Linked DNA regions of Macaca mulatta. The protein of the gene in region 1 interacts with the protein of each later gene in a pairwise test. Links are inferred from orthologs where the notes say so. Each region holds a gene or a part of one and is shown in the gene's direction. Other genes may lie near its edges.

Region 1 (10,851 bases):
GACCTCATGATTCACCCGCCTCAGCCTCCCAAAGTGCTGGGATCACAAGCGTGAGTCACCATGCCCAGCTGACTTTCATTTATTTATATAACCACAGGGGTCTTCTAGAATAGACGGATCTAGGGTTGACTCCTGAGAGTCACTCTTCTGTGAGGAAGGAAGTGTTTGCCTCCAAAGCTCCTTCTTTCAATGGAATGAAACAGATACTGTACCAGAGTCACTTCTGAAACAGAAGGAGGTGACTACTAAGAATTTAGGTGTACGAAGTGCTTCAGCCTTCCCTGAGATGCCATGAACTTTGCAAAAGCATTTAGTAATAATGGATACTATTTACCCTTTGCTTTCATGGTTTGAGAAAGCTAGTTTTGTAGTTTTATTTCAATTCCTTAAGAGAAAGTATAGATTTAAAAATCCTGAAGATCTGTGTATATGTGTCATGTCCATACACCCATGACTGATAACTTCTCAGTTTCCACTTCCACAATGTTCTTTTGTTTCATACAATTTATTTGTGAGGACAAAAAGAGTCATCCTCTTAAAACTGCCCTTTTTTTTTTTTTTTTTTGAGATGGAGTCTTGCTCTGTCGCCCAGGCTGGAGTGCACTGGCGCGATCTTGACTCACTGCAACCTCCGCCTCCCGGGTTCAAGCAATTCTCCTGCCTCAGACTCCTGAGTAGCTGGGATTACAGGTGCTCACCACCCGCCTGGCTAATTTTTTTTTTTTTTTTTTTTGTATTTTTAGTAGAGACAGGGTTTCACCATGTTGGTCAGGCTGATCTCGAACCCCTGACCTTGTGATCTGCCCGCCTCGGCCTCCTAAAGTGCTGGTATTACAGGCGTGAGCCACCGCGCCTGGCCACAGTTTTTTTTTTTTTTTTTTCTTGAGATAGAGTTTCAGCCTGTCGCTCAGGCTGGAGTGCAGTGGCACTATCTTGGCTCACTGCCACCTCCATCTCCTGGGCTCAGGCGATTCTTGTTCCAGCAGCCTCTTGAGTAGCTGGGACCACAGGTGTGCGCCACCATGCCTGGCTAATTTTTGCATTTTCAGTAAAGATGGGGTTTCATCATCTTGGCCAGTCTGGTCTAGAACTCCTGGCCTGAGGGGATCCACCTGCCTCAGCCTCCCAGAATGCTGGGATTACAGGCATGAGCCACTGCACCCGGCTCCAAATTGCACATTTTAATCATGTTTCTCTCTCATTTATAGGAGCTCCTATTCAGGGTCTCTTGAATTAGGTTAAAACTTCTGAATGTTTGCTTGAAAGCTTTCCAACATTTTATTTACTTATCTACACTGATTTTCTGTTCCCTCTTCCAACCCCAGTCTTTGTTTTTATCTGGAAAGGAAACGTTTACTCATTGAAAAATGTACCCCTCTCTCTACATCAGAAGATTCACATTCTCTGTGAAATCTTTCTTGTTAATTCTCACTTGGCTTTGTGCTGGCCCCTATTGCCCTAGCAATGCCTCAGTGTCCATGTTCACATACCTCTCCAACATTTGAAATTCATTCTCTGTGTTTTATAGATTTGTTAATCTGTAATTACATTGCATATATTCATTATCCTATTTCTTCTCCTGACTTGAACCTCCTCAACTAACCACCCCCTCAAGGAAGGCATCCAGTGTCCTTAGAACATTACATAGCTAAATACAATGACCCAATGTGTAAAGAAGGTGGTACATATCATCAAGGTGGATGAAATAAGTCAATTAGAATGGTGAACCGGGAAAAGACACTAAGAAAGTAGGTAAGGATGGAAGACCAAAGTGCATTGCACATCATCGAGACCATCAGGAGACATGTCTATGAATTGGTGTGCAGTGAAATATTCCCCTAAGAAGTGTTTTTAGCTCTTTCACATGCAAGACAATATACATATATCTTGGACTAGGACACAATGACCAGCTCTGTAAAGGGAAGCAGGGGTGTTGAGTCCAATTTCTAACTCCTCCACTGGTTCACTGACTAGGAGATGGTGAGCAACCATCTTCATTCTTCAGTGTTTAATTCTATTTGCAAAATAGGTATTTTCTTTTTTTTGAGACACAGTTTCACTCTTGTTGCCCAAGCTGGAGTGCAATGGTGTGATCTCAACTCACTGCAACCTCTGCCTCCCAAGTACAAGCAATTCTCCTGTCTCAGCCTCCCAAGTAGCTGGGATTACAGGCATGTGCCGCCACACCTGGCTAACTGTTTTGTATTTAGCAGAGATGGGATTTCACCACGTTAGTCAGGCTGGTCATGAACTCCTGATTTCAGGTGATCCACCTGCCTTGGTCTCCCAAAGTGCCGGGATTACAGGCATGTGCCATTGTGCCCACCCAGGTATTTTCATTTTTAAACTCACTGTCTACCTACTCTTACCCAGTTTAATAGCTTGAAATATTTCTAAATTTGAGACTCATAGCACCATTCACCAACTCTACATCTTCACTTGGGTGTGTCTCCTGGACATCTCATATTTAATATCTCTAAAACCAAACTCTTGTTTTTCACTCCCCAAGCTGGCTCCATCCTATTTCAGTAAATGGCAATTCCATCCTTCCAAAAACCTTGATTTTGATCTGTCCCTCATATCTTACATCCAATCTATCAGCAAATGTTACCATTTTTACCTTCAAAATATATTCAGAATACAACTGCTTCCCATCACCTCCCTAGACCCCACCTTGGCCTAAGCCAATATCATCTTTCACTAGGATTATCACAATAGTCTCTCGACTATTTCCCTGCTTCCACCCTCAGCGCCTACAGTCTACTAAGCTAGCCTTTTGAAAAGGAAAGGCAGATTGTGTTACATCTCCGCTTAAACCCCTACACTGACTTCTCATCTCATTCTGAATAAAACCCAAAGCTCTTTGCATGGAATTCAAAGCTCAACACAGTTTTGTTCTAGAGCTCTTTGAATTTGTCTCATAACACACTCTCCTCTCTCATTTATTCAGCTCCAGCCACAGGGGTTCCCTAGAACATGCCAGCCACTTTATCTAATTAGCATTCCATCCCACACTTTAGTCACCTACTCTGCTTTATTTTTCTAAACAGCACCTATCATTACCTAACATATTTATTTTTTGTCTTGTCCCACTAGAATATGTCAGGGGGACAAGAATATCTCATGCTCCCACCCATAAGAACAGGGGTGTCATCTGTCTTCTTCACTGTTTTTCCCCAGCACCTAGCACAGAGCTTTTGTATGTAACAACAGTAATTTCTAAGTAGGAAATTCAAAGGCTTTTTTCACTTCATTACAAACGAACAAACAAACGCAGTGGCTCACACCTGTAATCCTAGCACTTTGGGAGGCCAAAGCGGGCAAATCACTTTCTTGAGGTGAGAAGTTCAAGACCAGCCTGGCCAACAGGGCAAAACCCCATCTCTACCAAAAATACAAAAATTAGCTGGGTGTGGTGGTGAGTCCCTGTAGTCCCAGTTACTCGGGAGGCTGAGGCAGGAGAATCGCTTGAACCCAGGAGGCAGACTGTAGTGAGCTGAGATTGTGCCACTGAACTCCAGCCTGGGTGACAGAGCAAGACTCTGTCTCAAAAAACAAAAACAAAAACAAAGAAGCAAACAAAAAAACTGTTCTAGTTGCTCAGACACACAGTTTTAAAATAACAAAAATACTTTTAGAATGAAGCTAGATTCCACAGCATCAATCAGGAATTTCCAGTGTAGGAAATGATGAACTACCATGTTCAAACATACAGGCTTTACAGGTGCATCAGAATCACAAGCACGTGGCAGAGTTCATGTGTCCAATTAAGTGAACATTCTTGCTACATGTTCAGCAGCTTATAAACAGATGGTGACCCACACCAGACTGCCTTGATGACTCTGCTTGGAAAAAAGGCATTACGTCACTGACTGGAGAATCTCAAAGCATATGTCCGGGCAGGTGACACACACATAGCTCAGGCTGTGATTGCTAAACCACTTCCACAGCCAAACGAGGAAAACCATCTCATGACCAGCTCTCAGGGGAATTCTCCGAATCTGACAGTCACCTCTAACTCCTCTGCCAGCTAAGATTAAGGGGTCTGTGATCAGTGATGTTACACTCCTCAAATGTGCATTTTTTTTTTTTTGAGGCAGAGTCTTGCTCTGTTGCCCAGGCTGGAGTGCAGTGGTGTGATCTTGGCTCACTGCAACCTCCACCTCTGTGGTTCAAATGATTCTCCTGCCTCAGCCTCCCGAGGAGCTGGGACTACAGGCGCCCGCCACCATGCCTGGCTAATTTTTGGGGTTTCACTACGTTGGCCAGGTTGGTCTCCAATTCCTGACCTCAGGTGATCCACCCGCGTCGGCCTCCCAAAGTGTTGGGATTACAGGCGTGAGCTACCGCGCCCCGCCTCAAATGTGCATTTGTGATACCTTTTCGTAAATGTTTATTCAAATATTTATTCACGAATAAAGCAAGAAAATGGGATTTGTTTAAATTCAATTTCTAGGTCCAAGGCAACCTATTACAGCTGTCCCTAATACTGTACCTCCGGGTTGTCCTCAGTGCCACCTCCTACAGTGTCCTCAAACACCACCCCTACCATACTGAGCCCCCAATCTGTCACCCCTCCGAGCAATACTCCCCAACTTTCAACGCCCTAAACAGCTCCTTTGTTATCGCCAAGCACTAGAAACCCCTCATGTCATTCTTACCCCTAAAGACCGTTCTTGTCACCAATTCCCCATTCAGACTTTCCCTATGAACCGCTCTAAGCGCTCTCAACTATCAGCCACACCCCCAAACAGCCCTCAGTAAGAGCCCTACACTATCAGCCAGACGTTTCCCGCCACCAACGCTCCCGAGACCCCACTCCTGTCACCAGTTCCCCGAACATTCCTTCCTGGGGTCGCAGATGCTGCTCACAGATGTCCCCGTAACCAACTTCATCACCTCCGTAGCCTAGGATCCTCCGAGGGGGCCATCCGCTGCCCCGCCCCTTTACTTGCGGCCCGGCCCCTTGGCGCGGCGTCCTGGCAAATAGCGCCGGAAGCCCCGCCCCCGACCGGTTGCTAGGCTCCGACAGCCGGAAGTCCCGCCTGCCGTGTAGTCGCCGCCGTCGCTACCGCTGCTGCCGTCGTTGTTGTTGTGGTCGGTGCGCTGAGCTCCGCGGCTCCGAGAGCCGGTTCCGTCCCTTTCCCGCCGCCGCCATGAAGTGGATGTTCAAGGAGGACCACTCGCTGGGTAAGCACTTGGCCGTCGGCCGGGCTGCTGGTGGCCGGGGCGGCGGGTGGGCCCCCTCCCCCACTGTGGCGGCCCTGGTTCGGGTGGAGTGGGGCGGATGCCCTGCTCCGGTCTCGAGTCGCCCAGGCCCTGGTGCCTGGGGCAGCCGCCTCCTGACCCCGTGTCACCCTCCGCGGGCCCTGCTGGGAGCAGTAGGGGACAGGACCGCGGCCGCAGGGACGCCGGAACCAGGGCCTGGGCTGTGCGCAGGGCGCAGGAGGAGGAGGGCCGGGGGCCGGAAACCGACCGGGGGGCAGGCGCAGCCGTCAGCCCTGTTTGTTTCTCCCACAGAACACAGATGCGTGGAGTCCGCGAAGATTCGAGCGAAATATCCCGACAGGGTTCCGGTGAGTGTTTGGACTCTCCGCCCCCTCACCTCGCTGTCACCTCTGTCGTCTGGGACCCGTAATAGGCCCCAGGCCATTCAACAGTTGACAAGTTGAGATTCCAGTCCCAGTTAATAGTAACTGACAGGCCAGACCGGGATGAGGCGTTCCAGGGCCGGGGTGTGAGGGGCTCGGGCTGGTGCTGTTCAGGGTGCCTCAGTGCTGAATCTCCCGATCTAGGCCAGCGAGCCGTCTGCAGCCTCGGGGCTCCCTGGCCAATTATGTAAGGAACGATGTTCTAGGACAGGGCAACAGGTCACTGCCACTTTTGGGAATGGTGGTGGAGCGAGACTGTCACTTTGGTCTTGGAAGTGGTACTTGAGTCTCAGGACGTTCATCTTTTACTTTGAGCCTCCATCTTTACCTAACTTCTAGCTCCGTTACCTCACCTTGACCCTGTCATCCTTGCCTGACCAAAATAATGTGAAAAGCGCTGAAAACCCTTCTGCCATGTTTTCTTCTTAGTCAATAATAAATATGATGTTATATTTCTTTCATGGTTGGGGAGACAGTTTTGTAATCCTTATTAATTTTTAATGGACATTAAGGCCTGTTATTGTAGCTCTTTGCTTGTGAATAATTCGTCTCAGGAAAGGAGTAGGAGGGACGGATTTGAAACTTGTTCAGAGAGGAGCAACAGGCCAAATGAAGAGCTTGGTTCTTGACTGGCTGAAATTCCAGGCATTCCCATTAGTCCATCCGTTCTTGTCTCCTGTGTTCCTTGGGAACACAGTAGTGTTTCTTGTAGTGTGAAGGTGGATCCATTCTGGGGTCCTAGAGTAACGGACCATGGATGAAATCCTCCCCAGATACTCTTAGGTCTGCCCAGATAAAATGTGGAAAAGCTTAGTAGTAAGGGCTGCATTTCTCTTACATAATTGACCACAGAAAAGCACTTACCGTTTCCCTATAACACATTTATATCAATTCTTAACCTCCAGAGCGTGTGGTTTATTAAGCCAAAGACATATTTTCTCCTGCTATGCAGTTTCCCACCCACCTCCTTGCCCACACTCTGTTCGTCAGCTCCTCAGCCATGTGAGGCCAGAGCCTCCCTTTAGGAAACGCAGTCCTGACCTCTCTTTACTTTCCCAGGTGATTGTGGAAAAGGTCTCAGGCTCTCAGATTGTTGACATTGACAAACGGAAGTACTTGGTTCCATCTGATATCACTGTGGCTCAGTTCATGTGGATCATCAGGAAAAGGATCCAGCTTCCTTCTGAAAAGGCGATCTTCCTGTTTGTGGATAAGACAGTCCCACAGTCCAGGTGAGAGGTGTTTACTAGATGGGCCCTCTGGTATTAGACATCTGGTTGGCTGCTTATGAAACTCCAAACCTTTGGAAGTCTGAAAACTCTTAGGGGTCCTGACTAGAAATCTGTATTTTGTGCTCCCTGACATCAGGGGCTCCAGGAAAATAATGGCTGCAATACATAAGAGTGCATTTTGGATTCACAAAATAGAACAAGGCCTGGACTTTAAAAAAAATGATGAAACTCAGCCTAACATCTCCAAGAATCTTTTAAAACAGTTGAGAACTTATTTAGGCTTAAGCTATAGGTAGAACTGAGGCCTGAAATGAGGTTTTCTTTCCCGAAGGCAGTCCTGGCACGCTCCTCCACTGGGAGCCTGTGGGCCCTGCTGAGGCTCACTCAGTTAATCATCCAGTTTGCTTGCTTCCAAACTTGGTCAACTCTTTGACATTGTAAGTGTCTATAGTTGCCTGATCCTCAAGTCTGACAAAATGACTGCTGCACAGTAAAGGGCTCTGAAGTCTTTTTATAGACTCATACCTCCCTTGGTAGCACCTGCTTTGACTGTCAGACTATTGTGCTGCCTGGAAGCAATCTTTGGGACTGTAACTTGTGGCCTGAATGTAGGCAGAGGCATTAGAATTCCCCTTTTCTGTGTATTTGATAGCCCAGCTTTAGTCCCCTGTGGAAAGAGGAAAATGGAGGGGCTCCGTCTGACATCCTAGTCAGTCCTTTCCCATTACTGAGTGGGTAGTTTTAGGCCCTGATCCAGATTCTGGCCCCCACCTCTCCCCTGAGTGTGAGTTCCTGGCCACATCTTATCTTAGTGACCCAATGTAGGTTTCATATACCACCCCCAGAAGTAATACTTCTAAAAGTGAAGGCTTTCAGAAGCCCTGGAAACTAGCCCAATGTTGCCCACATAGGTTCCTGTTGAAAATCCTTGAAGTCTCCAGAAGAGGCCTCTGCCAAATTCCAGTTACTTACTTCTGTTAAAGGTGGAAAGCTCTGGCTATTTTTTGGTCTGATTTCCTCTTTCCCAGTGTCCTCCACCTCCACTTCCTGGTGTCTGATAGAAAGGCAGGGGAGAAATGGAAGCTCCCTCCCTAAGGCCAGCGTTCAACCTGAGGAGACAGCCCAGGGCCTGCCCACTGGACACCACTGGTCTGCCACAGCTGTAGCTCTGGAAGCTGTGGTGTTGCTTGAGGTGATCTTGTCACCCATAGGGCTCTTCCAACCTTCCTTCCCAGGCCTCTGGGCTGTGTCTTCACCTGGGGAGGAAGCCTTGGGCATCCGTGGTTACCCTGGGCTTTCCTTAAGGTGTTTGGGGAGGTAATCTTCTTTCATAACATCTGCAACTTCTGCAGAGTCTTGGTGACCCTGTGTTTCCTACTTCCCGGAGGTGGTGGCTCAGTGGGAGAAAGTAAGTGACTAGGACCTATGGCATTGAGTTTATTTTCCTCAATTCTGATTCTCTGGTTCTTCTCAAAGGAAATGAAGCAGGTTTCTGGAGACCTTCAGATTACTCAGATGGCTCCACAGTAATCTGGCAATTAAAATGGCTACAGGTCTTATCAACTTCCCCTCCCCCATTATCCCTGAGATAGAAATAGAATTGGAAATGAAAAATGATTTTTCAGGGCAGCAGAGACTGCTTCAACCCATTTTCTCTCCAAGTCCCGTTTTCCTTTCCAGTGTGGTGAGAATCAACCCTAAAGCAGATTACACTAGTAACTCAAGTCAGGATTTTAGGGCCGAGTAACCAGAAATCCAAGACCCTTCAGGATTTAGTCACCAACTAGGACCCTTTTGCCCAGGCTGTCAGTTCTTTTGGCCCTAGTTAATGACTGTCACCCTACATTTAATGCAACTGTTCATTTTGGGGCTTTATTCTCAGAAAAATTTTTTTTTTTTTGAGACAGAGTCTCACTCTGTTGCCCAGGTTGGAGTGTAGTGGTGCAATCTCAGCTCACTGCAATCTCTGCCTCCTAGGATCAAGTGATCCTCCCACCTCAGACTCCCTAATAACTGGGATGGGACCACAGGTGCGTGCCACCACACCGGGCTAAAAATATAAATTTGTTTCTAAACAAAAGAGGCTTGTGACATCATTGGGCTTTATGCAAATGTAAATCAGCCATAAACATAAACAAAAAGTGCCACAGGGTCCTTCCTAAAGCTGGCTATGATTCAGCTTCACCATCTCTTCCCAAGACAATTTGCAGCCTCTTCCTCAGGTCTTTTCAGCCTCCTTAGGGAAGCATGGAGCCTCTCTTAACCTTCATGCAGTGCTTGCTGGCTTCAAAGAGTGGCTGGGGAAATTAGAGAAGGGATGAATTCAAGCCTGCAGGAGCCCTCCCTCTCCGATGACTGACTGGTCTGCATGAAGATCAATTATGTCTGAGGCTGCAGGAGAATAAGTTCTCAGTTATTTCTGCCTTGGAGTGAAAAACAGGCGGTCACCATGTAAAGTGTCATGATTTTTATTTAGAGTAGTTAGTATTAAATATTGATTCTATAAATAGAGACAGAGGCAAGTCCCTAAGTTTTACTTCCTAAATTCAAGTTCTTGTTTCATTTAAAGAAAAGGGAATCACAATGGCCTTTTCCCATTTAGCGTTGGAAAGTTGAACTCTCTGCTTAGGTGCCTGCATCAAGAATCAGGCCAAAAACGGAAGGGGAACCATGCCTTTGTTCAGACACAACTTCAGAAAAAACATCAGTGTACAGGTTTCCTACTCATGGCCTTAGAGGGGAACTCAGACCTGGCAGTCAATGGTCTTTGGTCTTTGTTTATTTAGAACATAGATAAGAGTCTTGTTAATCCCCTGTTTAAAATAGAAACAGGAGTATATCATTAAATAAAATATCTCTAAGATACTATTTTTTGTTGTTGTTGAGACGAGGTCTTGCTCTGTCACCCTGGCTGGAGTGCAGTGACACAGTCTTAGCTCACTGCAGCCTTGAACTCCTGGGCTTGAGCACTCCTCCCACCTCACCAGGCTGGTCTCAAACTCCTGGCTACAGGTGATCCTCCTGCCTTGGCCTCCCAGAGTGCTGGAATTATGGGTGTTACCCACCACACCTGGCCAGATACTATAATTTGACATTGGGAAACCTGTGCTGTTTAAGAATATGGTGTTTATTTGCTTCTGGATCTTAAAGAGATCTTCAGTAAAAGGAAGCTGTGATGTCTTGGAAATGAAAAGTGATTATCAGGGCAACGGAGACTGCTTCAAAGCCATTTTCTCTCCAAGTCCCATTTGCCTTTCCAATCTGCTGAGAATCCACCCTAAAGCAGCTTATACCAGTAACCCAAGTCAGGGTTTTAGGACAGAGTAACAAGAAATCCAAGTCCTGACTCTTCAGATCCCAATTAATGACTTCACCCCACACTTATTCATCCTTTATTTAGAAATGTGCTTAAAGCACTTGGATCATTTCTGGGTAAATACTTAAGGACAGGACATTTTTTTTTTTTTTTTTTTTGAAACGGAGTTTCACTCATGTCGCCCAGGCTAGAGTGCAGTGGCACGATCTCGGCTTACTGGAACCTCCGCCTCCCAGCTTCAAGCGATTCTCCTGCCTCAGCCCCTGAGTAGCTGGGATTACAGGCGACCACCACCACGCCTGGCTAAGTTTTTTTGTATTTTTAGTAGAGACGGGGTCTCTACTAAATACAATATGGGGTCTCACCATATTGACCAGGCTGGTCTCTAACTCCTGACCTCAGGTGATCTGCTGACCTTGGCCTCCCAAAGTGCTGGGATTACAAGCGTGGGCGACATGACTGAAACTCTGTCTCAAAATCAAAACAAAAAAAGGAACAACAACCAGTGGTTAATCTTTATATTTTGGAATCTTGGGGAGCATCAGGGCCTTATTAACTTTGACTGTGAAGCAAGTGCCTCTCCAGGATTGACAGCAGTGGTCATTGCCCTTCCACCTCCTACCACCTATCCTGCCCTGCTGGAGAAGAGATA
Region 2 (10,872 bases), on another chromosome or scaffold:
CTGCCCCAGGTAATTTATAGATTCAATGCCATCCCCATTAAGCTAACAATGACTTTCTTCATAGAATTGGAAAAAACTACTTTAAAGTTCATATGGAACCAAAAAGGAGCCCACATTGCCAAGACAATCCTAAGCCAAAAGATCAAAGCTGGAGGCATCATGCTACTTGACTTCAAACTATACTACTAAGCTACAGTAACCAAAACAGCATGGTACTGGTACCAAAACAGAAATATAGACCAATGGAACAAAACAGAGCCCACAGAAATAATACCACACATCTACAGCCATCTGATCTTTGACAAACCTGACAAAAACAAGAAATGGGGAAAAGATTCTCTATTTAATAAATGGTGCTGGGAAAATTGGCTAGCCATAAGTAGAAAGCTGAAACTGGACCCTTTCCTTACTCCTTATACGAAAATTAATTCAAGATGGATTAGAGACTTAAATGTTAGACCTAAAACCATAAAAACCCTAGAAGAAAACCTAGGTAATACCATTCAGGACATAGGCATGGGCAAGGACTTCATGTCTAAAACACCAAAAGCAACAACAACAAAAGCCAAAATTGATTAATGGGATCTAATTGAGCTGAAGCACTTCTGCACAGCAAAGGAAACTACCATCAGAGTCAACAGGCAACCTACAGAATGGGAGAAAATTTTTGCAATCTACTCATCAGACAAAGGGCTAATATCCAGAACCTACAAAGAACTCAAACAAATTTACAAGAAAAAAACAGACAACCCCATCAAAACGTGGGCAAAGGATATGAACAGACACTTCTCAAAAGAAGACATTTATACAGCCAACAGACACATGAAAAAATGCTCATCATCACTCACCATCAGAGAAACGCAAATCAAAACCACAATGAGATACCATCTCACACCAGTTAGAATGGCAATCAGTAAAAAGTCAGAAAACAACAGGTGCTGGAGAGGATGTGGAGAAATAGGAACACTTTTACACTGTTGGTGGGACTGTAAACTAGTTCAACCATTGTGGAAGACAGTGTGGCGATTCCTCAAGGATCTAGAACTAGAAATACCATTTGACCCAGCCATCCCATTACTGGGTATATACCCAAAGGATTATAAATCATGCTACTATAAAGACACATGCACGTGTATGTTTATTGCAGCACTATTCACAATAGCAAACACTTGGAATCAACCCAAATGTCCATCAGTGACAGACTGGATTAAGAAAATGTGGCACATATACACCATGGAATACTATGCGGCCATAAAAAAGGATGAGTTCGTGTCCTTTGTAGGGACATGGATGCAGCTGGAAACCATCATTCTCAGCAAACTATCGCAAGAACAGAAAACCAAACACCACATGTTCTCACTCATAGGTGGGAACTGAACAATGAGATCACTTGGACATAGGAAGGGGAACATCACACATTGGGGCCTATTGTGGGGAGGGTAGAGGGGGAAGGGATAGCATTAGGAGATATACCTAATGTAAATGACGAGTTAATGGGTGCAGTACACCAACATGGCACATGTACATGTACCCTAGAACTTAAAGTATAATAAAAAAAAATAAATAAATGAAAATAACTCTAAAAACTTAAAAAAAAAAGTCAGGAAACAACAGATGCTGGAGAGGATGTGGAGAAATAGGAACACTTTTACACTGTTGGTGGGAGTGTAAAGTAGTTCATCCATTGTGGAAGACAGTGTGGTGATTCCCCAAGGATCTAGAACTAGAAATACCATTTGACCCAGCAATCCCATTACCAGGTATATACCCTAAGGATTATAAATCATTGTACTATAAAGACATATGTACACGTATATTTATCTTGGCATTGTTCACAATAGCAAAGACTTGGAACCAACTGAAATGCCCATCGATGATAGACTGGATAAAGAAAATGTGGCACATATACACCATGGAATACTATGCAGCCATGAAAAAGGATGAGCTCATGTCCTTTGCTGGGACATGGATGATTCTGGAAACCATCATTCTCAGCAAATTAACACAAGAACAGAAACTCCAACACTGCATGTTCTCACTCATAAGTGGGAGTTGAACAATGAGAACACATGGAACACGGAGGGGAACATCACATACCAGGGCCTGCTGTGGGGTGGGGGGCTGGAGGAGGGATAGCATTAGGAGCAATACCTAATGTAGATGATGGGTTGGTGGGTGCAGCAAACCACCACGGCATGTGTATACCTTTGTAACAAACCTGTACACTCTGCACATGTACCCCAGAACTTAAAGTATAATAATAAAAAAAGAAACAAGATCGTGACAGAGATTGTGAATTACATTCTTTGTAAATATGCTATGTTTAAGACATTAGGATACAGAGGACCTCCCTCAACAAAACAACAGAATACATTATTTGGCTTGCAGGAAGTGAGGGATAACACCATGTGGGAAATTTTTTTTAAATAACCAAATAAATAAGTAAGTAAATAAGTAAGTAAATAAATAAATAAATAAATAAATCTTAAACTGAAATGGCAGTAAAGCCATAAACTCAAAGGGAAGACTGGTTGCCCCAGGAGCAAATGAAGCTCTCAGCCATACTCTCTGGAGCCTAAATTTGGAATCAGTTGTAAAGTGAGTTGTAGATTGAGGAATTTCTGGATTAAGCCAGAAATCTGAAAATGGGGTTGAAGTGGTCTCAGTTTAGTAGTGCCAGCACCCCCTTGTCAGTTCCTGATAAAAATATACACAAATCCTCTTTGGAGTAAAGCCACCTTGATTTCAATCCCAAGGATTTCCATACTTAAGTTCACAATCAAAGACTGTGAATGTAATTCCAGAAAAGAAATCACCAAAAGTGAGAGTCAGCGAAAAAGAAAAACAAAAAATAAAAAACAACCCAAAAGAACCAACATCAGATTCATATGCTGTATCAATCAGGTTAGGCCAGATTACCTTGCAGTAACAAACACTTCCCAAGTCTCATGACTGACTGAACACTGAGCTGAATGATCCCTGGCTTGCTCAGTCAACCACAGGTCTGGCAACTCTCCAGGGTCAGCTTGCAGAAGATGGAAATGATTAAAATTCAAAATAGATGGTTAATTTCAATTATGGGTGGAGTAATAACATTCTAAATACTTTCCAAATACTTAGGCAATGGAATGGTAAAGATCAACACATGACTTTTAAGAATTAATCATGTTAGGCCAGGCGCGGTGGCTCATGCCCATAATCCCAACACTTTGGGAGGCCAAGGTGGGCAGATCACTTGAGGTCAGGAGTTCAAGACCAGCCTGGCCAACATGGCAACACCCTGTCTGTACTAAAAATACAAAATATTAGCTGGGCATGCGGACACCTCTAATTCCAGCTACTCGGGAGGCTGAGGCATGAGAATCACTTGAACCTGGGAGGATGAGGTTGCAGTGAACTGATATCACACCACTGCACTCCAACCTGGGTGACAGAATAAGACTCTGTCTCAAAAAAAATTAATTATGTCAGGGTATTTACAGAATAATTTAAGTAGAACATTAGAAGATATATATATATATAAAATATCACACACACACACACATACTATGTAACAATTTTAGTAAATACACCATGACTATCAACCAGAACAGAACAAAAGAAAATTAGAACTATTATGGTAGATTGAGTGGATTTTTTTAAGGGAATCTTAACATTTTAAAATCATGTGGTAACAATATCATCACCTATGCTCCTATGTTCTCAATTTCTTCCTTCAATGGCTTCCCTTTAGCCACAGTGATCAGACCTGTCAGTAAAGTCCTAGAAAACATGTTTTTGAGGATGCTGAGGTTTTTTCTCCCTTAGCCTCTGTTTAAAATATTGTTCTTCTCCCATAACAAGTGCTCTCTTTAACCCTACATAACAAGTGCTCTCTTTAACCCTACATTTTAGACATTATTTTGTATTTTCCCTCTTCTTATAGTGCAGATCTTCTAGAAGCTGTAACAATTGTCATTGCCAATGATTCATGCCTTACAGGTAATGAGTATCAGACCTTGTCCTGAGAGAAACTATTAAAGGAAGGAGAGGCTGGGGAAGAAAGGAGACAATGACCATTTGCTCCAATACTGAGGCATAGAAGTTCCCTGGGGAGGGGGTGGGGTTTAGAAAAGAGAGATCAGGAGAAAGTCACTCTTCCTGACACAGGTCTTTCTGAGGCATCTGCTTTTTTTTTAAGCTCTGAGTTCTAGTTATCCTGGCTCAGGATAAAAATAATCCCACCACTAGTATCCTCCCTTTTTCTACTTCCGAGGCTGCAAAGTGCAACAGTAGGCTCCCTGACTCAGGAGGGCGGGTGTTCCTGCCCACTTCCTGTTCCTCCATCTCCAGCAGACACTGCTGTTTCAAGGCAGGTCTCCAGCCCAGCTCTTCGATCACGTTTTGCTGAAAATATAAGCAAACATCGGCCTTGTCCTCCATGTTGTTCATACACCATGGAAGCTTTCCTCTGCCTCCTCCGTGAGAGTGTGTGGCTGAGAGACAAGAAACGTGGCCCTTTCTCTTCCCTGTTAGCTGGTGCAGAGGTAAGTCTGAGTAATTGTGTGTGTCATATTTGGATGTGTATGTGTGGGTGTTTGTGTTGTATATGTGTGTTTACATGTTTGTATGTGTTAACATGAATGTGAGTGGTATTTGTGTGTGTGATGTTTGTGTTGTATGTGTATGTGAGTGTTGTTTGCATATGTGTGTGTTGTGTATGTATATTTGTGTTTGTGTGTGTATGTGTTTGTGTGTTCATCTGCATGTGTGTGAGTGGTACATGTGTTTTGTGTGTGTGTGTTGTGTATTTTTGTGTGCTGTGGTGTGTGCAGGTTTGTGATGTGATAAAAAGAGCTGTGACCAACAAGTCTGGAGAACTTTTTGCCCTGTGACAAAGTCACTGTTTAATATTTGGCAAGATGCTTCTCTGAGTTTTGCTTTCTTCCAGAGCAACATGACAAGGATGGTACTATCTGTTCCATCTTCTGTGTTGGAGACAACACACACTGTGGCCAATATGGGAGGCGCCATTCCAGGCAGGGTCCAGGAGGAGGCAGGGAGGCACCTTGGGTGCAGACCCGTTCCCCCAAAACCCTGCGAGGGCACACTGCAGGTTCCTGCATGCCACAGCCTAGTCCCACCCGGCTGTTGTTTCCTGTTAAGCTGCCTGCCTGTTCTCTCTAAAGGAGGAATGAGATTACATTGGTAAAGTGCTGCCTCAGTTTCCACCAGGGATGTAAGGAAGTCAGGAACAAAGAGATTGAGAGACCACCAGTTAGGAAGAACTGAACTCCCTTTGGTAGGTGAAATATTGGACTCTTTCCAGAATCTGGCTGTTCAAGTTTGAGTAAGGCTGTCCGCCTGGTCTGCTTTTTCTCTCTTGCTAGAAAGTCACCAGACCTTCCTGGACTCCCTCCATCCCCAGCCCAGCACTGCAAAATTGATGTCTACCAATCATAAAGCAATATCCACATATACACTCCTGGGATCTGGGGAGGACTGGAGTGTTTGCCAGGTGAGCAGAGTAGAACAAAAATACAACAATGTGGCAATGAGAAAAACCTGTCTATCAGGTTCCCCTGGACTTAGGTTTCCCCACACCCCAGACCCTTCATCTGGATCTGTTTCATCTGGTTATGAATGTCCTACATGATCTGGAAAAACAGTCATGGACCATGCAACTTCCTCCTCAGTCGCACAGAGAAAATCTGCAGAGAGAACCTTATGGGATCTTGACATACAGAACTGTGTTAGTCCATGAAGCCAGGACACATTGCTGTCATGGGAAGGGGGACAGGAGTTCCTGGTTGGGAATGATGTGGCCCTAATTTGCAAAGAGGACTAAGAATTGCTCTAAAAAATGTTATGAAGTATGTTGGGACCTTAATTGGGGAAGAGACATTCACAGGCATCTGGTTCAGGTCCAACATTCATACTGATGGGATGCTGAGGCCTAGGTAGACCTAACTGGTGGTTGCATCTCCCCTGAAGTCTCTGGCTTCCTTCCCAGCTCAGCCCCTGCAATCCCAGTTCTCTGCAATCCTCACTGCACAGTCTTCTCCAAAGTCTGGCCCCAAGACCCTTCCAACAACATCCTACTCATTCACGTCCTCCAGGCACACTAGACTTCCTACTGCTCCCAGGGCACACAGGATCAGAATCACACCTGCTTCTGTGCTTCCCTTCCTCCTCCTCCTCCTCCTCCTCTTCCTCCTCTCCTTCCCCCACCTTCTCCCCACTGCCTCCCCCTCCACCTCCCCCCACCTCCCAGAACAGTTCCAGACCCTGTGTCTATCCAAATATCATCCATTCTTCAGGTCCCAGGCCAGTTGCACCTTTATCTGTAAAATCTCTTAAACTTATGGAGACCACAGTGGAGGGGGCGGGGGATAGGGTCCCTAAAGAAATAGGGTCCCTAAAGACAGCAGAGAGTGTCTTAGACCCCTTCTTCCATTGCCTCACTCAGTCCCACCCCAACCCTAAACTAATGCAAAAAACTTTCCCCTGGCAAGAGAAAGGCGAAAGGCAGGTAGCTGTTGAAACTCATTTGGAAAGTCAGTAGAACATATGATTTTTTTTTATGTAGATGGAGGAAGATGAATGTGAACACATGCCCCAGGAGAATCCCCGAGAAGAGCTGTCCCAGGATCCTGTGCCAGAGCTGTCAGGAGGTAAAGCGAATGAGGAGAGAGGAGCGGGTGGGAAACATTTGGGGTGCAGGTGGGACACAGCTCCGCCACCATGATGTGCTTGGAGAGACAGCTGGTGTCCCCTGGTCGCAGAAATTTACCCACCTCAGTCACCATCAGAGGTCTTTGAGGTAGGGCCCTTCTTATCACTAGCCAAAATAAGAAAAAAGACCCCTGGGTAGGTATGGTAGATAAAAGGAGGCAAAAAATAGCACCAATGACTAACTCACCATGCCAGTCCCAAAGGAAAGGCTTTCACATGGTGGATGTTCTTCCTCAGGAAGGATGTGCTGACAGTGGGTGTGACAAAAATAAGTGGCCTTGGACCAAGACCCTGTGTGGGTGTTTGACTGACTCCAAAGTGGAGCTGTCACGGTTGTAAGGTTGAAAGCGCCTTGTGAACAAGCAGAATGTACTTGGCTGCTGCCTCACATCTGGGCTCTGCCTTATCGAGGGCGTCCCTTTCCCTAAAGCCATTGCACAGGGTCAGGCGCTTAACTTTCAGGCAGGATTTAGAAAAGCTGGAAACCCAGCCCTTTCCTGGCCAGAATACATTATTTGTGATTCATTATGTATTTTAATATGAATGACCTTTTACTTTATGAACTTAAATGGCCTGAGCCATCTGGAAAAAGCCATGTTAACCTACTACAATAGGTTACCAATTACCAATACCTGTGCTAACACCGGTTTGACCTTTTGTTACAGCAATCAAAGTTAGCTATTCCCTTAAGAATCCTCTCCAGATCTCAAGTGATGCATTTGGCTTTAGTAAAGTCCAGTGGTGTGTGCTAGCTCCAGGCTTCTCAGATGGGGGTTCCTGTCTCCTCTGGCTCTGCACTGGGCTAGGTGGGTGGGGAAGAACATCTACTGCCCAGACTCCTGCCCATTCACTCGAATTCCTTTCCAACCACCTCGGGGAAGCTGGAGGGGGGCCAGTGTCACTCAGTTAGAATTGGTGTGTGGGTCAGAGCCAAGGGTGGCTGGCAGGCCACAGCAAGGCCTGTTGGTACCCAGGAGGTGACTGCCCCCATGCTGCCACATGCCAGCTTCATGCTCTGTCATCTGAGATACATCAATGTCTTCAGTGGAGACAAGACTGGGAAACCGGCTATTACTTGTCACTTCTTTATGTGCTCTGGGTCTTGGGACCTGCAAGACCAGGAGAAGGGAATTTCCTTCCTGCCTTCTTCCCCAGTCATATCTAAAAACCCTGGTATTGGGTGTCTTGGTGTTCTATTGGCCAAGTCTCGCTTTTCTCTCTAGGCTCCACTCTTTCACTGGGAGAGAATGTTCAGCCCCACCTTCAAGAATGTGGACCCAGAATGGTGGCCCAGCGCTGGTTTCAGGGCAGATGTTGGTCTTTGACAATCTGCCCCTGCAGTCTGGGGGTACACCAGGGGCTTCTGGTGAGAACAAGATGGGGTACATGGGCCCTAACCCCAGTTCCTTCTGCTTTCTTTGGATACTTCTAGGTCTAAGGGAGAAAGAACAGAAGACCCGAAGGAGACTGAGGCTCATTCTTGTGGGGAAAACAGGAAGTGGGAAAAGTGCAACAGGAAACAGCATCCTTGGCAGGGACGTCTTTGAGTCTAAACTCAGCACCAGACCCGTGACCAAGACCTCCCAGAGAGGGAGCCGAGAGTGGTCTGGGAAGGAACTTGAGGTGATTGACACACCTGACATTTTGTCCTCCCAGGTCCTGCCGGAGGCGGCAGCCGCTATCCGCCAAGCCATCATCTTATCCTCCCCAGGGCCCCACGCTGTGCTTCTGGTGACACAGCTGGGCCGGTTCACAGATGAGGATCAGCAGGTGGTCAGACGCCTGCAGGAGGTCTTTGGAGTGGGGGTTCTGGGTCACACCATCCTGGTGTTCACCCGGAAGGAAGACCTGGCCGGCGGCTCCCTGGAAGACTATGTGCGAGAGACCGACAACCAGGCCCTTGCCCAGCTGGATGTGACCGTTGCACGGCGCCATTGCAGCTTCAACAACAGGGCTCAGGGGGAGGAGCAGGAGGCCCAACTGCAAGAGCTTATGGAGAATGTCAAAGCCATCTTGTGGGAAAACGAAGGCAACTATTACAGCAACAAGGCTTACCAATATACCCAGCAAAACTTGTCACTCAAAGAACTACAGGAAAGGAAAGTAACACAGGATCAGGGCTCTGAGGACGTGCCTGGTGAAGAGTCATGGATGGAAGGACTGTCCCAGATCCAGAAGGAATCTGAGGAAGCCCACAGACGCCTGTTGGGGAGGGCTGACCTTTGAGCCTGTGCTGGACTTGAGCCAAGGACACCATCAGCCCTTGCACACCTGTGTCCAGTCCTCTGTTTCTCTTTCCATCCCATGGAGTGCTTCCCAGTCTCCAGGTCATGATGTCTGGTGTAGGAAGAGAGGCATGGGGCTGGAGGACGGGGTCTAGTGTGCCCAGATCACATCCCAGTTTCTTCATTCCTTCTTCTAGAACATCTGGGTCCTCCCTCCTCTGTGCTCCAACAGCATGCTGTCTTCCTATTGGACCTTCTATCTCACTGGCATTGCCTTTCATGGTTTACTTGCCTATACTCTGATAGAACCAAAGTTTCTTGAGGGCAGGCCTGTATCTTTTACTTCTGTGTAACTTCCACAGCTTTTGACTGCACTGGAGTCATGCAGTCACACTTGGTGCAGCAGCTCTGTGCGAGCTGTTGACCAGATGACGTCTCATCTCTCCCCACACCATGATGGTTTAAGGTGCCTGTTGTGTCTGGTGGCTGGAACATGGCAGTGGTGCTGAGACATGGGGAGGGTTGGAGACTGGGCTGAGAGGAGAGCAAGGAGGAACAGGGATGGAGGCAGGAGGAGCAGCCCTTTTGTTCACTCTTGAACTGTAACAAACAAGCCCCGTTGGAACTTCCTAGTGGGAATGATGGGAGAAGTCGGGGGCAAGGTATCCAAGAAGCTAGGCTGTGGTCAAGAAGGTGGTTCCTTGTCGTGGCTACAGAACATGGAAGCCCCTAGAGATGCAAGTGGACTTGGGCAGAGGAGGTCACACCACCCCATGAAGGTAGACTTATATTAGAGACGACTTGCATCTGTTACTTCCCCTTTTCCCCTGGGTTTCATGGCCACTCATGATATTTGCCTTCACCTCCTAGAAGGCACAGACTACTTTCAACCTGCTGCACCCTTCACTGCCACCCCTCCCTTCTCCCTTGATAATGGGAGCATGTGGATGGGGTGAGTGTCTGCATGTGCAAACGGGTTCCCTAGCAAGGTATTTGTGGGGGTCGAATGCAAGGAGGCAGGCAAGAAAGGGGACCTGCAAAGGAAGCAGTGGAGTGACTTAAACATCTTGCAAGGCAGCCTACCTGGTCTATGGGAGAACTCTGAAGTCCATGATGTTTTCCTGGAAGGCTGTTGTTACAGTTGGGGCTTATAAGAAGTGATACTGGACAGGATGAGAAGGGAGTAGGATATCAGCCTGACTCAGGCCTCAGGCAGGAAGCCGCCTGCCTGCAAGAGGAGACTGATGTGCCTCGGGTGCACCCCAGCTTCTCTGAGGTCCAAGATGCTCCTGGGGAGTTGACCAACATTTGGGAAGATAATAGGAGGCAATGGGGAAACTGCTCCCCAATATATTCCTCTTTTCCTTTCTTCAAGCTGCCTGGCAGGGGGTCTTTTGCTACTTTCTCCTGAGAGGGGTGGGAAGTACAGCTTGTGGGGACAGTGCTGGGAGATGATCAGAAATCGCAGGGCACAGCCTCAGGTCTACCTGGACACTTGTCCGCTGTTGGAGATTCTCAACAGCCAGACACCCAATCTGTGGCCTCCTGCTCTGAGGCCATCCCCCAGCTTCCCTAGAACACAGCAGACATCTGAGAAAGCTTCAGCAGTTCTCTTGCTAACAGATTCAGAAAAGTGTCTCAAAGCAGAGCACAGAGTTATTTGGTGTATGCTGAAGATGGCCTTTGTGCCACAATCATTTAGTAAGTAAGCAATCAATTTCCCATTGAACTGAAAATGCAACATTTATCATACATTCGATTCTCATTCACACTCCTTAAGATTTGTGTCAGAATCTTTATTTCTGTTCATGTGTTCTACTTTTCTACTCCTGTATGAATAAAATATTGATTTGGTTACAGTGGCTTTGACTATAATGTGGGAGCCAATTTTTGCCTCAGTCTTCATTTTCATATTTACCTTGCGATTCTCAGG
Region 3 (10,872 bases), on another chromosome or scaffold:
CGTAGCTCCGGTCATCCTGTCTTTTTCCACTTGGAAAGAAAGGGAAAGAACTAAGGGGAAAAGGTAAAAACCAGACAAATCTGTGTTTCAAGGGCTTTCCCAAAACCCCACCCAGTGACTTCCATATAGGAGCTGATCATAATCTGGAAAGAAACAACTATCAGCACCATAATCCTGAATAAAAATCCCTAAAGTCTAAAATCCTGAAAATCAATCCTGAAAGATCAAAATCCCAAAAATGCAGTTCTGGAAAAAATGTAAAAGACACTTATTTTACATTTTTAAAAAGGGACTTATTTGAGAAACATAAAAACACGGCAGAACACTTCATAGGTCACTTTATAAAATAAAATAGGCAGTATTAGCATACAAATTTTTATAAACAGAAACACGCAGGTATACTAATGACAGTTGCATGGGTCTAACAGTTATGAGCAGATGAACCGTGTTCATGAAGGAATAGCTTTTACAACTGAGGTCGTCTGAAATACTGTGACGGACAACCTAAGTCTTTTGATGAGATCCATCAAAACTGTGATGGGTCACCACTGCATATGCAGTTACCTGAAGAGCTAAGATCTTGAGAAATTTTATTTTTCACAAATGCAGATGTATGAAAGGACATCTCTTCATTTATTAAGGACATTTTGGTGCTTTTATGTACACGCACGATGCTTATACACAAAGTCAACATTGTGGTAATGTACCTTTTTGGAGTCAAATTTGCAAAAAGTACATAAAATAAATTAGAACTCTGTGAGTCTTCCCAATGTTTCTACCTCCAGTTTTGGAAATGATAAGATGAAATACATAGCATAGCACATTGTAAGAGAAATAGTGCTTGACCCAGCATGGTGGCTCAAGCCTGAAATCCCAGCACTTTGGGAGGCTGAGGTAGATCGCTTGAACTCAGGAGTTCAAGACCAGCCTGGGCAACATGGCAAAACCCCATCTCTACAAACAAAAAATTTAATACAAAAATTAGCCAGGCATGGTGGTGCGCACCTGTGGTCCCAGCTACTAGGGAGGCTGAGGTGGAAGGGTTACTGGAGCCTGGGGGGCAGAGGTTACAGTGAGCTGTGATCTCACCACTGCACTCCAGCCTGGGCAGCAGAGCAAGACTCTGTCTCAAAAAAAAAGAAAAAAAAATAGGGCTGCGGATTTAAGAGTAGGAAAACTTAAAAAAAAAAAAAAAATTGACATATCAAAATGTGTGTTACAGGGATATATTATGGCAGTTGCATGGAGGTAGTCTGTAAGAACTGGCCGACTTTCATGATCATTAACTATATTTTGAAGTCTTGCATCTTGACAAATAGCTGCTTTTTTTCTTTTAGGACATGGCTGTCATTGGAGAATACGTTCATGTTCCTTCTACATGTGGTACTGTTCTTTTTGAAATTCTTGTATGATTCCATATACAACAACATGAGCATTGCCTATTAAATTTCCCCGTTTTCTGTGCCATGCTTCTGTTTTGTGGGTAGATGGAAATCCATTCTACATGTACTCCATACACAGACCACAAATTTGGCGGAAGCAATACTGGTGATGGAACAGCAACACCATTGCATTAAGTGTCTTTTTATCCTATTGTGCACATAATTATTTTTGAACTAGTCAGTACTTTGCTGGCTTCTTCAGGCAATATGGCTTTAATTCATTAAAAGCTTCTGGAATGTCATCTGCTGAAAGGAATGCCAGTGCAGGCAAACGAAGCTTTTAACTGAAGTTTGTATCGTTGCCATATCATTGTAGCCAATCCACTCATCTGAATTTCCTGCCAAATGCATTAGGCTGAATGGGAAACACAAACTATTGGTAACACTTTGAAATTCACTTTTAGAATTCTTTTTTTTTTTTTTTTTTTGAGACAAGTTTCGCTCTAGTCGCCCAGGCTGGTGTACAGTGGCATGATCTTGGCTCACTGCAACCTCCGCCTCCCAAGTAGCTGGGATCACAGTCGTGCGCCTCCATGCCTGGCTAATTTTGTTTTGTATTTTTAGTAGAAACGAGGTTTCACCACGTTGGCTGTTGGCCGGGCTGGTCTCAAATTCCTGACCTCAAGTGATGCGCCCACTTTGGCCCCTCAAAGTGCTGGGATTGCAGGCGTGAGCCACTGCACCTGGCCCAAATAAGCATTTATTAAGTGCTTTACTTTTTCTTGTCATTAATACATAATTGAGTGGATAAGTTCTAGAATTTTCAGATCTAACAGGGACATGAATTGTATATAGCTGATAAACAGTGGGAACAATTTTGAAAGTGCAATTTCTTAGCTAAAGTGAAGCATGTACTAGTTCTTGTATGTTAGATTTAGTGGTAAATATAAGAAACCTGTATTCTTTGACAGTCAAATCACTAGTCAAGAATAGTTCACCGTTTAAAGTTTTTTGTTTGTTTGTTTAACACTGAGGAACCTCAGTATCAACAAGTATCTTTGGTTCAGAAGGTCACTGAGCTTGTTGAATTCTTTTTATTCTCTGCTGAAGGGTGTTTTTTGAATGGAAGCATGGTGCTATACGTGAAGGGGCAGAAGTCTTACACTATTGAATAATTTGGCCAGGAGATTTCTTGTACTTTTGGCCTGTGTTTTCACTTCTGTGATCTTTGAAACACTTGCTGCACTTGTATTCGGAGAGTGGTTGTGGTCTACAAATTTTGTAAGTATATACTATCCATCTGAAAGTGCTTATTGCTTGGCTGCTGCAGTTAAGCAATTTTCTGCTTGTGCAGCACCAATAATGATTAGCATTTAAACTTTTATCTTTCACCATTTAGTAACCTTGTATATTTAACTTATCACAGCCCTTTTGCAAGGGAACATTTCGTAGTCTCTTCTGTTGTGTTGTAAGGAATTCAGTAAGAAGGAATGATACTTGGCTTTGCCAGTACCAAATCTGTATTAGTCAAGATTCTCCAGAGAGACAGAACTAATAGAATATGCATATATACATGAGAGGGGATTTATTAGGGGAACTGGCTCATGTGATTATGTAGCTGAAAAGTCTTACAACAGGCTGTCTGCTAGCTGGCGACCCTGGGATGCTGGTATAGTGGTTCAGTCCAAATCCAAAGGCCTCAGAACCAGGGAAGCTGATGATGTGACTCTCAGCCTGAGGCTGAAAGGCCGGGACCTGGGAACTGCTGGCATAAGTCCCAGAGTCCAAAGGCTGGAGGCCTCTAGTTCTGATGTCCAAGGCAGCGAAAGAGAAGCCTGTGCTAGCTCTGAGAGAGAGAACAATTCACCTTCTGTATTTGTTCTCTCTGGGGCCCCAGCTGATTAGATGGTGCCTGCCAACTTTCAGGCGAGATCTTCACATAATCCACTCAGACTCACACACTAATCTCTCCTGGAAACACCCTTACAGACACACACCCAAATAATGCTTTACTAGGTCTCTAAGTCTTCCTTAATCCAGTCAAACTGACACCTAAATTTAAGTCCACAAGTTCACCCCATGTCAGTTTATCACTCATAATGTATTTCCTTAAACCATACTTAATTTCCAAATAAAGACAATAACAAGGTAATAGTTCTACTTAACATGATGTAGCTATCGTATGATTGTGATTTTGGGGATGTTAGACTTTAGGGATTTTGATCTTTCGGGATTTCAACATTTGGAACTATGGCATTCAGAATTTTGTCTTTCAGGATTATGATCCAAATCCCTTCCATTTACGTGTCCTTGACCATGACTGTGTCATGGAGCCATCGTTGCTCCAGGGGAAGCTGGGAAAAATACTTAAGTGAGCACACTGCTGCCTCAACAAATTTGGACTGTCTGTGAGGACTAAGCGAGAACAGACACTGGGTAGGCAAATTAGCAGTCTCTGCCACACCAGTTAAATATTAATAGCTATGTTAAGTTCAAAACAGACTGGGGTGCAGTAACTCATGCCTGTAATCCCTGAGCTTTGGGAGGCTGAGACAGGAGAATTGCTTGAGCCCAGTTCAAGACCAGCTTGGGCTACCTAGGGACACCCCTGTCCCTGCAAAAAAAAAAAAAAGAAAGAAAAAAGTTCAGAACAAACCAGTCTATGTCCTTTTTTTTTTTTTTTTTTTTTTTTTACATTTCTACTTTAACCAAAGTTATATGAAAGAAACATAAATAAGTCAATTTCTAGAGTATGAAGGAGACGTAAGATCATGTAGTCCTGGCATTTTAGGCTTAGAGATTATTAGTGCCTTGTCTGAGACCACAGGGAGCAGTTCCAGGCTTGGGATTTCACGTTCCTGATTCCCATGCCAGTCACTGTTCTTTCCGTTTACTTGGCTGCTTCATGAACTCTGGGTGCTCATCTGTCACTCTTCTGCATATACAAGGTGGCTGGGTTTTGGTTACACTATCTGGCAGAAAATCGTCTAATCCCTTGAATGATTACAATAAAAGTGATACGAGGAAAATTTATGTGTCTTACTTGAGAGTCTTATACGTTCACTTTGTAAGTGTTGATGGTGCTGGCAGTATGTAAACATTCATTCATTCTTCATTCGTTTATTCGACAACAACTGCATACTAGACAATAGGTTATAATGTCCCAAGAACCTTATGAATTTCCATATCCCCAAGTAGGTCCTCACTGAGTGAATAATTAAGTCATAGTTTCTGCCTTCAGGAAATTATTAGGTCTGAGAGACAGACAAGCAAATCAATGATAATAGTACAGCAAAGGCAAATCCCTTGAGATGATACAGGCATGGGTGAAGGGAAGCTAAATAAATCTCTGATGCAGAAAGGGGGTCTGGAAAGATGCCAGTAGGAGGTAGCCTCAGGTTCAGTTTTGAAGGGGCTGGCCAGGTGAGGAAAGAGAAGGGCAGCATATCAAGCAGAAGAATGAGTTTCTCACCAGTAGGGAGTTTAGAGAAGAGGGGACCACAAGAAGTATGGGAAGAGGACATGGTCATAGGAAATGAGGCTTGAGAGGTGGCCATGGCCACATCAACAGAGACCTTAATAGTATGTTAAAGGATTTGAACCTACCTAACCTCCCTGACAGGGTGCCATGGAGTCAGGTCAGGGAATGGCTCAGGTGTCTGTCCACTTTGGTGTAACCACCTGACATTGTGGTTAGACCGTGGTGCCTGAGTGCAGAGCACCAGCAAGTCACCTCTTGTTACCCACATCTGCAGATAGCCAGGGCCAATAAAATCACACATAAAGATTCCTGTGCCTCCCTGCCCAGTGCTCCCAGGACCCGCCTCTTGGCAAAGCCTTACTAACCTTTCTAGCCCCTTGCAGACTCCACATGTCACCTTTCACTTTCCTACCCATCATGTTGTCCTCACTCTTCAGGGACTCCTAACAAGGGCTTCTTTTTGTCTCCTGCCTAATAAGGAATGATTTGCTTCTATTTGATGGTTGGTTATGCTTGGCTTTATGGGACCCTCAGATGGTGGAAAACACCAGACATACTTTGTAACCTCTAATGGTGGGATGAAAGGCAATATTTCAGGAATTGCAGGCAGCCAGGAGACAGGAAGCCTGATCCTAAGAGTGGTTAGAGCAGGGCCTCCTGCTTCCCCATCCTTGCTGCTTCGGTCTACAGCCTGCCCCTCCAGCAGGTCTTTTCCCGGTCTGTTCTCCCTCCTCTGCTGAATACTTTTCTTTCCCATTTCTCAAATCGAGCTCCTGATCCTCTCCTTGGACTCCTAGTTGCATTGTCGTCTGGTGCCCAGCAGAGAACTGGCGTCCTTTCTCTGACCTCTATCCTAAGATGGATCCAAACCTCCTTTGTTGGCTCTGCCTCTAGTAGCGAAGTTTCTGACATCAAAGGGTGTCATTGGAGCTGCATCCTCTTGGTTAATGCAAGTAATAGACACAATTTTATTATTGAGGGACCATCTGAACCTCTCTGTCGGTGACTCTGGAAGTAAAATGTACCATGGAAAAGCTCATTTCTTTATTACTTGTTTCTTTTTCCTTCTCTCCTTTTTCCCCCCTTAGGCAGGAATTATTACAACAATAAAGAAAACTAACAAAATTTTTCTCCAAATCCCACAACCATGAGTCATCAGCTGTTTTTACTTTTCCTGATATTCTCTTCCAGTCCCTGCTCATCTACAGCGACATTAACTAAATTCGGTTTTGAAGTGCATTTCTTTTTTATGCCAAATGATCATATTTGGAACAGACTGAAGTAATCGAGCTATAGGAATATCTTGGGTAATAATGGCTTCTTCTTTTGATTATTTCCCTTTAGGAGTGACACTGCTGATCCTGTAACATGGAGGATTGTCTTCATACCTCATCTGAGAATCTGTCCAAATTGGTCAGCTGGGCCCACAGCCATGGGACTATTTGCAGCCTCATTCCAAACCTGAAACACTTGCTTTCTGAAGGTTCCCATGGGAACCTGACAGCAATGTGGGGCTGTAGTGCTGGCCATGCTTATCACTGGCCGCTAACAGCTACTTGCAGAGCTGGGTCCCAAGAGAGGGTCTGTTTCCAGGATAACAGAAGTTTTAACTCTGATAGTCCCAGTATAATCGGGGTGCCCTCTGAGACACAGACTAGCCCTGTTGAAAGGTACCCTGGGAGACCAGTGAAAGCAAAGCTAGACTGTAACCGGACCAGAGACTCTTGTGACTTCTCCTATTGTAGTGAGCCCTCTGAACTGGATGAAACTGTTGAAGAATATGAAGATGAGAACACCCTGTTTGACATGGTTTGTGAGTCTTCTGTTACAGATGAGGATAGTGACTTTGAACCCCAAACCCAAAGGCCTCAAAGCGTTGCTCGCAAAAGACCTGGGGTAGTCCCATCTTCCCTCCATTCAAGCTCCCAGGCGCAGATGGTTGACGAATGCAGCAATGATGTCATCATCAAGAAAATCAAACAAGAAATCCCTGAAGATTATTACATTGTGGCAAATGCAGAACTGACAGGAGGAGTGGATGGACCAGCCCTATCCTTGACACAGATGGCAAAACCCAAGCCTCAGACTCACGCTGGTCCCTCCTGTGTAGGGTCTGCTAAACTGATTCCCCATGTCACATCCGCCATCAGCACGGAGCTAGACCCACACGGTATGTCTGCATCCCCCTCTGTGATCTCCAGACCAGTTGTCCAGAAGACTGCTAGGGTATCTCTGGCTTCACCAAACAGAGGCCCCCCTGGTACCCATGGCACCAACCAACAGGTGGCCATGCAAATGCCTGTGAGCACATCCCATCCTAACAAACAGATCAGTATCCCCTTGTCTGCCCTGCAGCTGCCTGGACAGGATGAACAAGTTGCCTCTGAAGAGTTCCTGTCCCATCTGCCCAGCCAGGTCTCCTCCTGTGAGGTAGCCCTTTCTCCCTCAGTTAACACAGAGCCAGAAGTGAGCTCCAGTCAGCAGCAGCCCCCAGTCGCTCCAGCCATAACCACTGAGGCCACAGCACAGTGCATACCAGGTATGGCATATGAGGCGACAGCGAGTCCCTCATCCACGCACGCCAGAATTCTGCGCCGTCAGCACTTCTAAAACCATTCACTCCAGTTTGCTAGAATTCAGTCCTTTGTTAGTCATGGAAAGATAGAAACAATGACTCTTATGTCCAGGTGATACTATAAAGGAAATTCATAAGAATTAAGGCCATAACCAGTTGGCATACCTTAGGGCTGAGAGGACAGCTGTAAGATTGTTCTGTTGATATTGTAGCGTTAGATTTAAGGTTGATACTTGTCAGCTGAATTTTTATATAGTAAAGTTATTTTTGAAAGTTTTAAAAATACGTTTTTCTATCAGTAGCAAGGTGTTTAGTTGTTGTTTGAAGCCAAAATGATGTTGAGTAAGGCATATCTTGACAATAGACCTAATGCTTTTCCATTATTATTTATTTGACTGAGCCAACTTGACATTGCTATTCATTTTAGTTGGTGTGGTAGTTAATAAGTTTTTTAAAAAGCAATAGACATTTCTAAAAGAGGTATTTGATCTTTTCTCTTAAAATTTAAAAGAATACGGAAACTTGGATTTCTGGAATCTGTGAGCCTAACTGGAATGGATTGAGAGGAGAGTGAAATAATTGTACGAGGCCCCCGCACCTGTAATTCTAATGTTCTAATGTTCTTTAATTCTGACATTCAATATTTATTTAATCTGGGCCATTAGTATATAAAGGGGTTGGGTCTCATGCTTTTGCCTTCGTGATTCAAATCTAGTAGGTTAGAATAGAAACGTGGACAAGGACAAACAAATGTGCAGAAATCTGTGGCATGTTTTAGTTTATTTCAGCCCTTCTCAAAAACGTCGTGTATTTTGGGAAATGCTTCCTAGAAGCCTGAGGCACCTGTGCCTTTATCCTGAAACTTCCTTGGATTAAGTTGCTTTACAAACTTTTTTTCCAGTTTTAGTTTCAACCTTAAGATTCCCAAAGAAGACCTTCAGTTTATGATTTTTGTGAAGACATAGTCGTGGTGTTATTAAGAAGATATTCACTGAAAATATTTCTCTCCTGATTGAAGATCATGCTTTTCAGTTTATTCACTTTTCTCTTTTTTAAATAATAGTTTTATTGAGATACCATTCACATATCATAAAATTCACTCTTTTAAAGTGTACAGTTCAATGGGTTTTGGCGTATTCATAGCATTGTTACAACCATCACCATTATCTAATTTCAGAATATTTTCATCACCCCAAAAAGAAACCCCATACCCTTTAACAGTCACTTTTTCCCTCCTCCTAGTTCCTGGCAACCACTAATCTACTTTCTGTCTATGGATTTTCCTCTTCTATATGTTTCATATACGTGGAATCATGTATTATGTGGTCTTTTGTGACCGCCCTCTTACGCTTAGCATAATGTTTTCAAGGTTAATCCATGTTGTAGCATTTCTTTCCTTTTTATTGCCAAATAATATTTTATTGTATGACTATACCATATTTTATTTTTCCTTTCATCAGTTGATGGACATTTGGGTTGTGTTCGTACTTTGGCTGTTATGAATAATGCTGCTGTGAACATTTGTGAACAGGTTTTTGTGTGAGTGTGTATATTTATCTTGCTTGGGTAACTACCTAGGAGTGGAATTGCTGGGTCCTGTGGTAACTTTATATTTAACTTTTTGAGGAGCTGCCAAAGTGTTTTCCCAAGCAGCTCCATCATTGTACAGCCTCACTAGTAATCTATAAAGGTTCTTATTGCTCCACATTGTCACCAACACTTGTTATTTTTCATGTTTAAAAAAATAATAAATATCCTATTGGGTGTGTGAAGTAGTATCTTATTGGGGTTTTGATTTGCATTACCCTAATGACTAATGGTATTGAAATTTTTTTTCATGTGCTTGTTGGCCATTTGTATATTTTCTTTTGAGAAATATCTACTCAAATCTTTTGCCTATTTTAAAATTGCCTTCCTATTGGTGACTTTTTGGAGTTCTTTATGTATTCTGAATATGAGATCCTTATCAGGTGTATAATTTGCAAATATTTTCTTCCATCCCATGGATAAGTCCTTTTCTTTCTTTCTTTTAAAAAATATTTTAATGAATTATACTTTGATCATTGAATAGCAGTGTGGTCCTTGGCTAATCTCATCATGAGAGAAAATGTTATCTTTATTAGGCTGGTGAAAGTCTTTGTTCCAGGAAATCTGACTCTTAATATATGTAGGATATAAGTAGTACCTTTTCACTTAAATTGTTATGAACCTGGTTCTAGTTTATTTATTTGTTTGAGCTCTCCTGCCTTTTTTAAAATTATTATTTTAATAGGGTGGAATTCAGAAATGTATTTTGCCAAGTGATCCAGTGTACCCAGTTTGGTGAGAGTATTAGTTGTGTTGCATACCTTTTCAGTGACTCATTCCTGCAAAGCAAGATGCAAGACTTTTCTGCATCTGCCTCATGGATAGTAAATGAGGCCCTGAGGCGCTTTGCTAAACCATATATGAATATATTACTGTCTCATTATTTTGGGAAAGAAATTCAGCCTATTTGAAAAAAAATACTAATCCATTTATTATTGCGTATATTACATTCTCTTAGGTTTTTTTCTTCCCTCATGGAAATTGCACTTCTTATATTAGCTATAAAAAGCAGGCATGCCCAAGGAGAGCATGTAATATGTACGGTCATAAATTGTGATTTGGCTTTACTCTCAGAGGAGGATTAGTTTGGCTTGGAGGTGAACCTTTAAGAAAAACAGTATGAAGACTAGTTATGACGATTTTCCAAGGATGGTCCTCATGTTTTGATCCATTGTTCTGAGGAAGGATATCCTATTGCTAAGATGTCATTAACTTTGGAGAAATACTATTTGAACTGGAAACAGCAGTGGGACAAATAAAACTCAGACTCACATTTTTCTTTTGAGTGAACTGTATAAAGTTAACATAAAATTTACTTTTTACTCTAGTACCTAATTAGATTCTGTGTTCTAAAGTTTTATTTATGTATTTGTGTTTGCATGTTTATTTATAGTAGGTAATCTTCTTTCTAACATAGATTTTAAAAAATTTAGAATCTAGCATACCCAGATTCACGTGAATGACTTTGTTACAAATGGACCTTACATCGTTAATATGTAAAGCGTACTTGGGACTAAGCAAAGAAGACAGGTTCTGAAAGCTAAGTCAGGCTCTTTTAAAGTGGATGCTCTGTACTGGGTCTTTATCAGATCATTGTAGAAATACTGCATATCTTTAGATAACATTTTTAAAATAAATAATTTGACAAATCACTATTGAGTCAGCCAGAAACAAAGAGAAATTGTTCCATTTTGTTTGGTTTTACTGTTGCCATTTAAATTTGATTCCCATAGTGGAAAATCATCCCTACTTCTGTTCAGAGCTGAACTCATAAAATTATAAAATGTTAATCAAGGTATAGATAAAATCATTAATTTTCATGTCAATCCTGCCATACTGCTCAATCC

The links.
Region 2: the proteins of GABARAPL2 (region 1) and GIMAP6 interact in a two-hybrid assay, tested with the Homo sapiens proteins (2 studies listed by BioGRID). The two-hybrid records come from large-scale screens. The link is inferred for Macaca mulatta from reciprocal best matches to the Homo sapiens genes GABARAPL2 and GIMAP6.
Region 3: the proteins of GABARAPL2 (region 1) and KIAA1958 interact in binary tests that used the Homo sapiens proteins (3 or more experiments, as listed by UniProt). The two-hybrid records come from large-scale screens. The link is inferred for Macaca mulatta from reciprocal best matches to the Homo sapiens genes GABARAPL2 and KIAA1958.

Annotation. Positions count from the first base shown.
Region 1 is NC_133425.1:70,915,288-70,926,138, forward strand, and holds the start of GABARAPL2 (gamma-aminobutyric acid receptor-associated protein-like 2), read left to right. Parts: upstream 1-5,032; 5' UTR 5,033-5,156; coding exon 5,157-5,190; intron 5,191-5,520; coding exon 5,521-5,576; coding exon of another isoform or gene 5,577-5,634; intron 5,635-6,685; coding exon of another isoform or gene 6,686-6,710; coding exon 6,711-6,883; intron 6,884-10,851. UniProt on the Homo sapiens protein: Ubiquitin-like modifier involved in intra-Golgi traffic. Modulates intra-Golgi transport through coupling between NSF activity and SNAREs activation. It first stimulates the ATPase activity of NSF which in turn stimulates the association with GOSR1.
Region 2 is NC_133408.1:190,048,598-190,059,469, reverse strand, and holds GIMAP6 (GTPase IMAP family member 6), read left to right. Parts: upstream 1-4,324; 5' UTR 4,325-4,436; coding exon 4,437-4,526; intron 4,527-5,369; exon of another isoform or gene 5,370-5,425; coding exon of another isoform or gene 5,426-5,497; intron 5,498-6,568; coding exon 6,569-6,653; intron 6,654-8,146; coding exon 8,147-8,940; 3' UTR 8,941-10,801; downstream 10,802-10,872.
Region 3 is NC_133420.1:45,739,221-45,750,092, reverse strand, and holds the start of KIAA1958 (uncharacterized protein KIAA1958 homolog), read left to right. Parts: upstream 1-6,200; 5' UTR 6,201-6,231; coding exon 6,232-7,402; intron 7,403-10,872.